Macaca mulatta: one gene and its partner. The protein of the gene in region 2 interacts with the protein of the main gene of each other region in a pairwise test. Links are inferred from orthologs where the notes say so. Each region holds a gene or a part of one and is shown on either strand. Other genes may lie near its edges.

What was found.
Region 1: the proteins of CDKN2D (region 2) and NR4A2 interact in binary tests that used the Homo sapiens proteins (3 or more experiments, as listed by UniProt). The two-hybrid records come from large-scale screens. The link is inferred for Macaca mulatta from reciprocal best matches to the Homo sapiens genes CDKN2D and NR4A2.

What each region holds. Positions count from the first base shown.
Region 1 is NC_133417.1:61,213,299-61,219,479, forward strand, and holds the start of NR4A2 (nuclear receptor subfamily 4 group A member 2), read right to left. Parts: upstream 3,810-6,181; 5' UTR 3,721-3,809; intron 2,017-3,720; 5' UTR 1,893-2,016; intron 1,388-1,892; 5' UTR 1,386-1,387; coding exon 522-1,385; intron 1-521. UniProt on the Homo sapiens protein: Transcriptional regulator which is important for the differentiation and maintenance of meso-diencephalic dopaminergic (mdDA) neurons during development.
Region 2 is NC_133424.1:11,287,719-11,293,899, forward strand, and holds CDKN2D (cyclin-dependent kinase 4 inhibitor D), read right to left. Parts: upstream 3,186-6,181; 5' UTR 3,037-3,185; coding exon 2,896-3,036; intron 1,440-2,895; coding exon 1,080-1,439; 3' UTR 543-1,079; downstream 1-542. Other genes in the region: protein KRI1 homolog, read right to left, coding at 1-45. UniProt on the Homo sapiens protein: Interacts strongly with CDK4 and CDK6 and inhibits them.

The DNA of each region.
Region 1 (6,181 bases), on a different chromosome or scaffold from region 2:
CGCTCCTTGCTGTGTTTTATATGCCAAGAGAAGGAGAAGGAGACGCTCAGTAAATACAAATCCGTGGGCATTCATATTATTTACATTCCTTGGAGACCTTCTCTATTTAAAATGATAAGATTATTCAATCAGGATGGCGAAATAAAGAGATCACTTAATTTGACCATAGGGAATTCTGTTCCACTTGGTTAGCTCAGACACGGTTCTCTGTCCTAACCAATTTCATTCTGAACAGGGAAGACAGCTCCTAGCACATGCAAATGACCCTCTTCCAACTCCGGCTCCAGCAACTTCGGGCGGGGGCCAGCCCGGTCGGCTGAGTGCGAGGGGGATGCGACCCTGGCCTCCCAGTCTTTCTGCTTCCCTTTCTCAGACACCCGGAAGTCCCCGCCGCAGCCCGTGGACTCCTGCAGGGTAGCTTCGGTGGACCCCGGAGAGCCGGGCAGTCCCAGGAGGCACACTCCAGGGTCCCGGGCACTAGGGGCTCCCTACCTGCCTACTCCGCTCAAGCCACTGCTCACCTTAAAGAAGCCTTTGCAGCCCTCACAGGTGCGCACGCCGTAGTGTTGGCAGGCCGCGTTGTCCCCACACACAGCGCACAGCCCCTCGTTGGAGGGGGAGCCCCGCGACGGCGGCGAGGGCACCTGCGTGTCAAGCAGCTGCGACGCGTGGCCGATCTGCAGGCCCGGGAAGCCCATGGACGCGGGCTTGCGAATGGGGTTGGGTACAGCAAAGGTCTGCCCGTCCACCACGTGGTGGCTGCTGGCGGGCTCCGGGTTCATGGGGACGTGCAGGGGCCCGTCGAAGCGCATCTGGCAACTAGACACCGGGGTGCCAGGGGGCGATTGCTTAAAGGAGAAGAGGGAGAGGCGGGAAACTGGAGTTTTCCTCTGCTCGATCATGTGCGTAGTGGCCACGTAGTTCTGGTGGAAGTTGTGGAGAGACCCCGGGTCGTCCCACATGGGGCTGTGCTGCACCTGGAAGCCCGGGGTGGTGGGCGTCGGGGGCGAGGAGGGCTTGTAGTAAACCGAACCGGAGTGCGGCATCATCTCCTCAGACTGGGGGGGCAGGTGGCTGTGTTGCTGGTAGTTGTGCATCTGAATGTCTTCTACCTTAATGGAGGACTGCTGTCCGGACAGGGGCATTTGGTACAAGCAAGGTGGCTTGACGTCGTAGCCTGTGCTGTAGTTGTCCATAAAGGTACTGAAGCTGGGGAGAGAAGTGGTGGCAGTGATTTCAGTGTTGGTGAGGTCCATGCTAAACTTGACAAACTCTGGAGTTAAGAAATCGGAGCTGTATTCTCCCGAAGAGTGGTAACTGTAGCTCTGAGAAGCGGGGCTGGCTCCTTGAGGCGAGGACCCATACTGCGCCTGAACACAAGGCATGGCTGGAAATGAAACAGGGTGATACACACTCAGCCTGGTCAACTGAACACTTCCTCCCGGGCTCGGGTACACCTGGAGCTACACCGGCAGCCCGCGGCAGTCAGAGAGCGTGTAGGGGCGCGAGAGGAAGGGCAGGAGAGGGAGAATGCTGCCGAACAACAGTGTAGGGTGTGGAAAGACTGACCAAATAAAGACCCAGAGCTAAAAAGCTACTGAGGGTCCACATTCCTAGGTATTTCCAAACATCTCCTCCATACCACCCCCCACACCTTTTTACAGTCAATCCCACTCAGATGAGCCTCTTCTCTGAAGCTCAGATTCAGCAGTCTCTTTCTAGAAATGACCATCTAGAAATGAAGTTGAATTTCACAATGAGAAAGTTGCTCCCCAAGGCGATGGGTCGGGCAAATCTTAAGTTACAGGGTTTGCCAAGAAGATCGCCTTGTCCTGTTTCTTGATGTTTGGGGAACTCCGGAGAGTAAAGGAAATAAATGAAGTTGCACTAACCTTCAGCCGAGTTACAGGCGTTTTCGAGGAAATTAAAGGTGGACAGTGTCGTAATTCAATGAAGGACAAAGTTTCCAAGATTTTTAGAAAAGCAATGGGGAGTCCAGCCTGTCCAATCTCCTCCCTGAAATACAGACACAGGAAGCTTCAGGGTATCTTCCTGACAGAGATTCAACTGGGCATATGTAGACTCACCAGGCAGGCCCTTCCATGCCTTCCCTGTTCATCTCATTGGAAGTGAGTGGGAAGCCTTTACCAAACACAGCACTTAAAATGAATGTATAAAAGAAATGACTTGAAACAACAGAAAATACTACCCATTGCACTGTGTAAATCCTTGCAGAGAGAGGATCCTGCAAGAGGAAAGTTAGTCCATGAACTCATTTAACATTTATGATGTAATGAACTGGCCCCTTTGCTACAGTGTAGGTGGAGAGGTCATTTCCATCTTAGGTTAATTCAGGACCTGAGTATGAAGACTAGAGTCTGAAAATACAGCATTGGAACCTTCTCTTGCATTTTTTTTTTTCATGTGGTGAAATTGCCTTTTCTTTTGGTAGAGGGGAAGAAAGTAGAAGTCAAGAATATAAAATGAGAAAACAATCTTTCCCCTTATAAAATGTTAGAAAGACCTTGACTGAGAAGGCAATTTGAGTGGAAGCATCCGCATTTCTAAAGTGCTCTTGACAGAGCACTGGGATTGGAGCTGCAGACAAATTGATGTTCACTTTTCCAGAAAACTTGTCTTTCAGCATCTTTAATGGCCACAAGGTGGGAAGAGGGGACCCTACTTTTCCAGGAGTATCTTAGGTCAATTGCAGAGAGGGGACATACTGCTTATATGGTATTGGCACCAATATTAGAAGTGTTTCCCAGAACAGCAAGACGAACACCTTCCCCATAATGCCTTCCACGATCTGCCTTTCTGGAACAAGGCATTCTTGTGTCCTAGTAATTTTCAGATGTTCCCACTTAGAAGGCATTCTAGCGCACAGACAATCTTATTACTAATGAAAAAGAAAGCCAGTATCCTCTCTATTATTTCCCCTCCCCCACAATCTTGCTTCATAGTGGTGGTGGGGGTGGGGGCGGGGGGTGATTACCCAGAAAAAGCAGAAAGGAGACTCGACTTCCACAGCCCTTAGAGATATTCCTGTGTTGGATATTAACTCCCTGGTAGCTCCACAGTTTCATAACTGTACTCTTTACATATTCATATTCTCTCTCTCTCTCTCTCTCTCTGTCTCTCTCTCTCTCGACACATTCGCAAACCCAAGGACAGCATATGTCAAAACCAGAAATTTCAGACAACTTAGTAACAGGACACTCTACCAACACCACCCTTACTCAACAATACCCGGGAAACATCGCGCGCTGGCCAGCCGCGGAGACACAGTTCCCAAGCAACGCATAAACTGAAGAACTTTCTCTCCCTGTCAGTTTGTGGGCAGCTTCCTTCGTATACACAGAACTTGGAGTCTCCGTCTTCACAGGCCACAATCAATTCCTCACTAACAGCAAACTTTGCTCACATTTCCGCGGGCTAGTCCTCAGCTCCCAAACTGTGGAGTCTCCCTTCCACGTCCACCAATGAGGAGCCTGGAAGCCTCTGTCGGGAGCCAACTCCCCACTAGTGCCAAAGCCGGAGTTCGAACAAATGCCCCCCGGTAACTACGCGCACGCACTCCCCATCCTTCGGTCCCACTCTCACTAGAAGCCTCTGGCTCCCACTTCCAAAGAACCTATCCCACACAAGTGGAAAGAAGAGACGTGCAAAAGAAGGAAGAAGCATAAAAGAAGGCGAACTGCAAGGGCTGCATCTACTCACTTAGGAGTTCTCCGCGTCTCTCTTCATTCATTCAACTCTGCCGAAGTGCAGTTCCCTCTGGGAGGCTGGGCGCCGGGGTCGGGGAGGGGTGGGCGAGCTGGGCGAAGGGAGCCCGGACACCTCACGCAGGGAGGGAGTAGGGACAGGCGGCCGGCTGGACAGGCAAAAGGGACCGCGGAGCTGTACGCGAGCCGCCGGGCGGACTGGCCCTGGCCGCCAATGTGCCTTTGTTTATGTGGCTCGCGCTGCCGCTGCCAACATGCACCTAAAGTCTCCGCGCGTCAGCGCGCGTCAGCGGCCCGCCGCCCAATCGCCGCGCCGCCGCGCTCCCTGGACTCCTGGCCCGCGCTCGCTTTGGTATATTTCCGACCTGACGTCACGAGCAGGGCAGATTTTAAGGTGGGAACCGCTCTGCGTTCACCTTGGTAGCCAGCTTGGGTGGTTTTTGGTGTTTTCTTTTCTTTCTTTCTTTTTTTTTTTTTCCGAAAGAGGTGTGACCTCTCCCAGGTCTGCGCAGCCCGCAGTGCCGCGACACTTCATTTTCCCCCAGGCCCCCGCGCCCTCGCAGCTGCTCGGCCGCTCACATGTGGGGAGGGTGCAACAAAAGCCCAGGCGGAAGGGAAGGCCGGCGTGGGCCAGGTAGCACGCACCTGGAGCTGCACGGAATGGGATGTGCCTTGCAGCGCCCTAACCTCTCCCACCCACCTTCGTCACCCCCTTAGCGGAAGAGCGTACAGATGTCCCATGACACGAGACGCTCAGAGGGCTCACGCAGTTCGGGTGGGATTTCCCTACCCGGTTCATCCCCTTTTACTCCCTTTTCCTGTCCTAGGCCGCCTCCTCTTCTGGCATATATTCATTCTCATTCTCTCTCTCTCTCCCTCTTCCCCCTACTCCCACACTCCCATCTGAAAGGGAATGGGAGTGGGGGTAGGGCTTATTTTTCTGTGTTTCCTTATTTCCACGCAGTGCCCACGTTCGATGGAGGACGTGGTGCGTGGGGTTGGGGGGAAGGAGAGGAAGGGGAGAGGGTAGACAGTGACCGTGACCCAGCTCTTTAGAAACCCCAAAAGTCAGAGTGAAGCGTCGCGCCTTTTCCTTTCGCAGACAATGCAGCCGAGCAGCAGGCAACAGGTGCGCCTTCTGCAGAAAGGTACTCTGATTCCCACCTTCTGCAAACTCTAATACTTTCGATACTCCTCGGTGCCCACCAACTTGTACCCCTTCCACGAGTTTTAGAGAAATAAATCGACCTTCGTTTGAAACACAAGGTCTATCACAGCCTCAATCTTAGAACCCAGAAAGACTGGACAAGAAAAGCGAAGCGGGTGGGGATTGGAGACAGCGTCTCCGCAAAGCGTAAGGTGTGAGCCTACAACCCAGCCAGGAGCGTGTCCCACCCCCGCAGCCATCCGAGTCGCCGCCGATTCTGCTTTGCAATTCATTTCCCCTCGCCAGGCCGCGGGCGCAGGGAGCTTTCTAGCAAAGACAACGCCGCGGCTCCGGAGGGCAAGCTCCCTCCCCCAGTCTCCCGGCCGGAGCTGGGCGGGCTTCCTAGGGCTTCTCCCGCGGGGCTGGAAGAGGCTGGGCCTTGAGAGGGAGAGTTCGGAGCCGCCCCCGCTTTTCTACTCGCGCAGAGCGTCCCAGCCGCCCCTCCTTTCTCGGCGTGGCTCGCTTCCAGGCCGACGGGACCCTTTTGCAACTTGCCCCCCTACTCGTGTTCTCAGTACCGGCCGATGGCGCCGTGGAACTATTCGGGATCCCGGGCTGCTCAGCCCTAATCTGCAGCCCCGCCTTTGCCTACTCCCTGCTGCCCCCAGCTCGCCGGTGGCTGGGGAGGCGTTGCCAACAGATGTCCTGCGGCTGCCCCAGGAAGCCGCGGGCTCTTCTGCGCCGCAGCCTCCGGGAAACCTACGTGACCACCTTAAGTTTCCCCCAGATGTTGCGGCTGCCGCTACTGCTGCCGCCGCCGCCGCTGCTCGGCGGTGCCCTAGCAGGCGCAAGAAAAAAATAAAACCAGGAAGTGGGTGGGGGGGCGGGTTGTGGTGGCGGGTAAGGGTGTGTGAGTAGGGGGATGAGGAGGGGAGGGCGAAGAATAGCATATTAGCATGAGCTCGGTAGCGTCAGCGCCCCGTGGGCAGAAGCGATTCCATGCGAACGAAAGGGAAAAAGTGAGAGTTTGGAGAGCCGGGGAGAAGGAAGGGGGTGGGGGTGGCGGTGACGCAGGGGCGCAGGCATTGACGCACCGGCCAGGCTGGGCCCAAAATAGCAGCAACACCAGCTCAGAGGCGCCCTCCCGGGTTCCCTTCCCCTTCCGCGAGAGAGCAGGGCGCGGCCACGGGGAGCTTTCCTTGATCCCCGCGGTGGGCCAGGCTCCCGGCCGCTATTTTCAGGCAGTCGGAAACTCAAGCACAGGCACGCCGGGGTGGCAGTTATTATTTTTTAATATAGTCCTAGGAAA
Region 2 (6,181 bases):
CTGCGACGACCCGCGCGGTTCCGGCATGGCGGCTCTGTGGCCCATTGCGCACGCGCATTGAGGACGCCCTGGACGGGGCGGGGCCGCCCTCGGTCCCGCCCGCATCCAATTTCAAAAGAGGCGGACCGCACCTAACCCCGCCCCTGGCTTTTCCGGGATCCCCTTCGCCTCATGACCGCAGTCACCGCCCACCGCTACGCCCCTGCGGGGAAGGCCGCGGCCACCGCCCACCCGCCCCACCCCCGGTGCTCCGGGCACCCAGCTGACATCTGGGGGCCCTTTCTCCACTCGCGGTTTCCTGCTTCCCTTCCGTTCCGACAGCGAAAACCGCTGCCCCACCCAGCTCACTCACCCTGGCGCCCTGGGAATTACTATTCTCTCCCCTCACCCACCGCATCCACGATCCCCGACCCCCGTCCTCATCCCCATCAACATCCGGGATGTGTAACTCTCCATCCCAGACTCAAAAATCTGAAGCCACCCGCGCTGTGATCATGCACAAGTCTTAATTTAATGGGTAAAAACATTAAATTATTACAACATTTTTTTCCAATAAAGCATAATAAATAGAATCCATTTCTTTTAAAACGCTGTACAAGAGACTGGAAAACAAGCTTCCAACAGAATATGAATAACTCATTCTACCTTCTTACTGATTTGGGACTCTCCCCCCACCCCCTGTGCCCGAAGCAACGTGCACACTTCAGGTCTCTGAGCACAGCCAGCCAAGGTCACCAGGTTCTACGCTCCCTGGAGGTGATTTCACTCTTAAACGCTCTGCCCTTGGGTCTTGTCTGAGGCCCCAACAGCCTGGGGCGCAGAAAAAACTGAACCGTTTAGGTGGCTGTGGCCTGCAGGAGCCCTTCTCTGTCCAACACACCAAAAGGAGTGAGAAAAACAAATGAGAAACGTCCCCCAAATACCCACACACCCCAAAAACCAACACCTATAAGCCACAAACTGGTGCTCCTCCCCTACTGCGGCAGCAGGCAGGAGAAACAAGAAGAGAAAGTGTTTCTTCCCCTCTCTTCTGATACATAACCCCACGGGGTTCTCTTCCTGGATAGAGTGACCCCAGATCACAGCGGGGCCACCATGTGCCCCTGCAGGATGTCCACGAGGTCCTGAGCCCCTCTCTGCAGTGCCAGTTCCAGGGGTGTGAGACCCCTGGCGTCCCTGCGATGGAGATCAGATTCAGCCGCCAGAAAGCTGACCACAGCAGTGTGACCCTCTTGCACCGCCAGATGGATAGGAAGTGCCCCGGTGCCATCAGGCGCGTTGACATCAGCCCCGTGCTCCACTAGGACCTTCAGGGTGTCCAGGAATCCAGTGCGGGCTGCGTCATGGACTGGACTGGTGCCGGAGGTGTCCTGGACATTGGGGCTGGCACCTTGCTTCAGCAACTCCAGGGCGATGGCGGTGCTGCCAAACATCATGACCTGTGTGAGGGACAGAGGATCAGGAGGTCCTCAAGGGAGGGGTTTCCAAAAAAGGGGTTACTGGCCGGGCGCGGTGGCTCACGCCTGTAATCCCAGCACTTTGGGAGGCCGAGGCGGGCGGATCACGAGGTCAGGAGATCGAGACCATCCTGGCTAACACGGTGAAACCCCGTCTCTACTAAAAATGCAAAAAATTAGCCGGGCGAGGCGGCGGGCGCCTGTAGTCCCAGCTACTCGGGAGGCTGAGGCAGGAGAATGGCGTGAACCCGGGAGGCGGAGTTTGCAGTGAGCCGAGATCGCGCCATTGCACTCCAGCCTGGGCGACTAAGCGAGACTCTGTCTCAAAAAAAATAAATAAATTAATTAATTAATTAAAAAAAAAGGGGTTACTGGAGAGAGAAGGGTCATCCAGAAAGAGGCATCTCCCCGGAACAGGAAATGCCAGAGGAGGGATCCTCTAGTGAACGGAGAAGCTGCATAAGCCCCCAGGGGACTGTTTGAGATGCAGAGAAAAAGTTCTCCTGGGAATAGGGACCCCCCCCAAAAGCTGGTCACTCCCTTAAGAATGAGACCCCCCAACCCAGAGAACAGCCCCCATGGAAACTTTCAAGGAACCTAAGACTCTCCCGCAAGGGACCAAAGACGCCCCCAGATATGGGCAATCACCAGGAAATATAAAATCCCCTCCAGGAAATGGGCCCCCAGAGATGGAGAACTACCCCCAAAGAATTGATAGTCCTCATAAGGGAAAAGAGATGTCAAAGGAAAGCGAACCCCACCCCCTTCTCCAGGAATTAGCCTCCTCCTGTATAATGGTGATGTCACCTCAGAGTACCTGAGAGCTCCCTTCAGGAAGCGGGATTCCAAAAGCAATAATAAAAGAAGAGAAAAGAGACTCCTCTCTAAACTCTCCCAGGGAATATAAGGATGTCTTGCGATCTGACACTGTTCCTCCACTGGGGCCCCCACACTATAGCTAGGATCCGCATAATCTTTAGGAATGAAGACCCCACCCCCAAGTAACCAGATATGTCTCAGAGAGCCCCCTACAAAATGAGGAACCCCTGGAGACAGGACCTCTCCTTCCAGAGATCGGATCTCCCCATAGAAGCCCCAAGAAACGTGAGCCGTCCCCATGGAAACGGTATCCAAAGGAGCTGAACCCGCACCCACGGAATAAGAACCTCCCCAGGGAAAGTGAATCTTCCGCACTCAGAGAACCAGGAATCCTCCCAGAGAAGATGCTAAAAAGCTCTCCCCTCCCCCCACAACCTAGCCTCACCCACCACCCACCTTCGAAAGGGGACCGTGGGGGAACAATGAAAGCCTAGAGAAGAAGGACCGGTTTCCAGTGGGTCACCACCAGGGCCAGGAGACCAGAGGAGAGGGGCTCTGGGGTCTCGATCCTCACCCCGCCGAGCCACCCCGCCCCCGACCTGGGCCGGCCCGGCCTCACCTGCAGCGCCGTCTTGCCGAAGCGGTTGAGGGCGTCGGGATGCACCAGCTCGCGGTGCAGAAGGCGGCGCACCTCCTGCACGTCGCCCCGGGCCGCGGCCCCACTCAGCCGGTCGCCGGAGCGGACCTCCTCCAGCAGCATGTCGACACTGACGGCCTGCGAAGACCCCCGCCCCGCCCCAACCCGGCGCTGTCAGCACGGAGCAACCGGCGGGCGCTGGCCCGAGCAGCCCTCCCGGGACGCGGCCGCGGTGCGCCCGGCTGCTCTGCACTCCCGGCCCGGCTCCCCAGCCCAAGACCCCGGCCCTCCCAGCGGGCTCCTCCCCCTGTCAGCCGGAGGCAGGCGAGGGGCTGGGAGCTGGGCCCAACCCTCGGCCGCCGGCGGGGCCCTGCCCGGCGCCCGCCCCTTGGGGGCCGGGTCTCCCCCTAACTCACCCTCCCTCCTCCTTGCCGGGCGGGGTCTGCTCTGAGCCTGCGCCGCCGCCGCCGCCGAGGCAGCAGCCAGGGGGCGGAGCCAACGTGCTCCCGGCCACGCCCCGAACGCCGCGGATTTGTTTTCTTACAAACTCGCTACTGTGTAGCGAATCCGCGTTGCCCGGCGCGCGACCTTACGGCGTTCCTCCCGCAGGGCCTGCATAACCAATGGCTGCGCGTCGCCGGGGAAATTTCGAGCTCGGCGTGAAATGCGTTGTTCCTGATTGGTCAGAGCTCAGCAACCGATGGACCGCCGGCAATGGCGGGGTTTTCGGTTTTCAAATGAACCCGGCAGGCGGGAAAGACGGCCGCTTTAACTGACCCAGGGAGAAAGGTCAGGGGCAGGGTAGCGCGGGCTGCTCTGGGACCTCGGCGCCTCCTGGGGGAAGGGAGGCAGGGCTGGGGCCACCCAATCCGAGGTCCCACTACTAATAGATATTCATTGGCCCTTACTACGCGCTGGGCGCTTTATTTCATTCATTCATTCATTCACTGTGTGCAGGGGGCGTCCTGGGAGCTGGACGCGCACATTCAAGCAACTAAATAATATTAGATAGTGTCAAGCACCGTAATAAAGGGAAACGGGGAGACGGGGTGGATGAGGAAGGGATCACCCTGACTGGCTCAGACTGAGCCAAGAGGAAAGGAGCCTGCAACTGCCACGTGGGAAGGCCTGGGAGGACATAGTCGCAGCCAGACAGGGACTCAGGTCTTCGCTCAAAGATTTACTTAGTACCTCCTAGAGGTTCCCGAGTGGAGAGCACGCCAGGAGGCCCCTGCTGCAGGGACACCTATGGTCTGGGGCCAGAGACGATAGTTAATTTTTATTTATTTATGTATTTATTTTTGAGTCAGGGTCTCACTCCCGTCACCCAGGCCGGAATGCAGTGGTGCGATCACAGCTCACTGCAGCCTCGACTTCCCCGGCTCAAGTGATCCTCCCGCCTCAGCCTCCCGAGTAGCTGGGACTACAGGGACTACTGGCTAATTTGTATTTTTAGTAGAGACGGGTTTTCACCATGTTGCCCAGGCTAGTGTTTTTTGTTTGTTTGTTGTTTGTGTTTTGCTTTTAAATACACTTCTTTTTTTTATTTTGGGGTTCTTGCTATGTTGCCCAGGCTGGTCCCGAATTCCTGGGCTCAACGGATCCTTCTGCCTTGGCCTACAAAACTGTTGGGATTACAGGCGTGAGCTCCAGCGCCCCGCCAATAGTTAAATCTTTTTAGAATGGTAGAGGCGACTGACCCGATGAGCCTAGCCGTTGAAACAGAAAGGCAGTGAGGGCCTCCCTGAGGAGGTGACATTTGATTTGAGACTTAAAGGTGAGGGAGGGAGACTTGTGGTTATATGGGGAAAAGCGCACCAGCTGGGAGGCACAGCAGATGCTAAGGCCCAGAGGTGGGAGTGTGCCTGGTGTGGTACAGAGGAGGGGACAGCAGGTAGGTGGGGGATCGGGGTGGCACTTGTGCAGATCAAGCCGTGGCTTTTTTTTTTTTTTTTTTAGACGGAGTCTCGCTCTGTTGCCCAGGCTGGAGTGCAGTGGCGCGATCTTGTCTCACCGCAAGCTCCGCCTCCCGAGTTCACGCCATTCTCCTGCCTCAGCCTCCTGAGTAGCTGGGACTACAGGCGTACACTGTCACACCCGGCTAATTTTTTTGTATTTTTAGTAGAGACGGGGTTTCACCATGTTAGCCAGGATGGTTTCAATCTCCTGACTTTGTGGCCCGCCTCGGCCTCTCCAAAGTGCTGGAATTACAGGCATGAGCCACCACGCCTGGGTTTTTTGTTTTTGTTTTTGTTTTTGTTTTCTGAGACAGTCTCTCTCTCTGTTGCCCACGCCTGACCAGGCCATGACTTTAATAAGATAGGAACGCGGAGCGCAGTGGCTCACGCCTGTAATCCCAACACTTTGGGAGGCTGAGGCAGGTGGATCACCTGAGGTCAGGAGTTCGAGACCAGCATGGCTGACATGGTGAAATCCCGTCTCTATTTAAAAATACTAAAATCGGCCTGGAGCAGTGGCTCACGCCTGTAATCCCAACACTTTGGGAGGCCAAGGAGGGCGGATCATGAGGTCAGGAGTTTGAGACCAGCCTGACCAACATGGTGAAACCCCGTCTCTACTAAAAATACAAAAATTAGCGGGGCATGGTAGTGTGCGCCTGTAATCCCAGCTACTAAGGAGGCTGAGACAGGAGAATCACTTGAACCTGGGAGGTGGAGGTTGCAGTGAGCCGAGATCACACCACTGTACTCCAGCCTGAGCAACAGAGCGAGACTTCGTCTCAAAAAAAAATAAAATAAAATAAAGCTGGGCACAGTGGCTCATGCCTGTAATCCCAGCACTTTGGGAGGCCGAGGAGGGCAGATCATGAGGTCAGGAGTTCGAAACCAGCCTGGTCAACATGGTGAAACCCCATCTCTAATAAAAATACAAAAATTAGCTCGGCATGGTATTGGGCGCCTGTAATCCCAGCTACTCGGAAGGCTGAGGCAGGAGGATCACTTGAACCCGGGAGGCGGAGGTTGTGGTGAGCCAAGATCGCACCGCACTCCTCCAGCCTGGGTGACAGAGCGAGACTCCGTCTCAAAAAAAAAAAAAAAAAAAAAAAAAAGGCGGGCGTGGTGGTGGGCGACTATAATCCCAGCTACTCTGGAGGCTGAGGCAGGAGAATTGCCTGAACCTGGGAGGCAGAGGTTGCAGTGAGCTGAGATCAGGACACTGCACTCCAGCTTGGACTACAGTGAGACTATCAAGAAGGAAAGAAAGAAGGAAAGAAGGAAAGAAGGAAAGAAGGAAGGAAGGAAGGAAG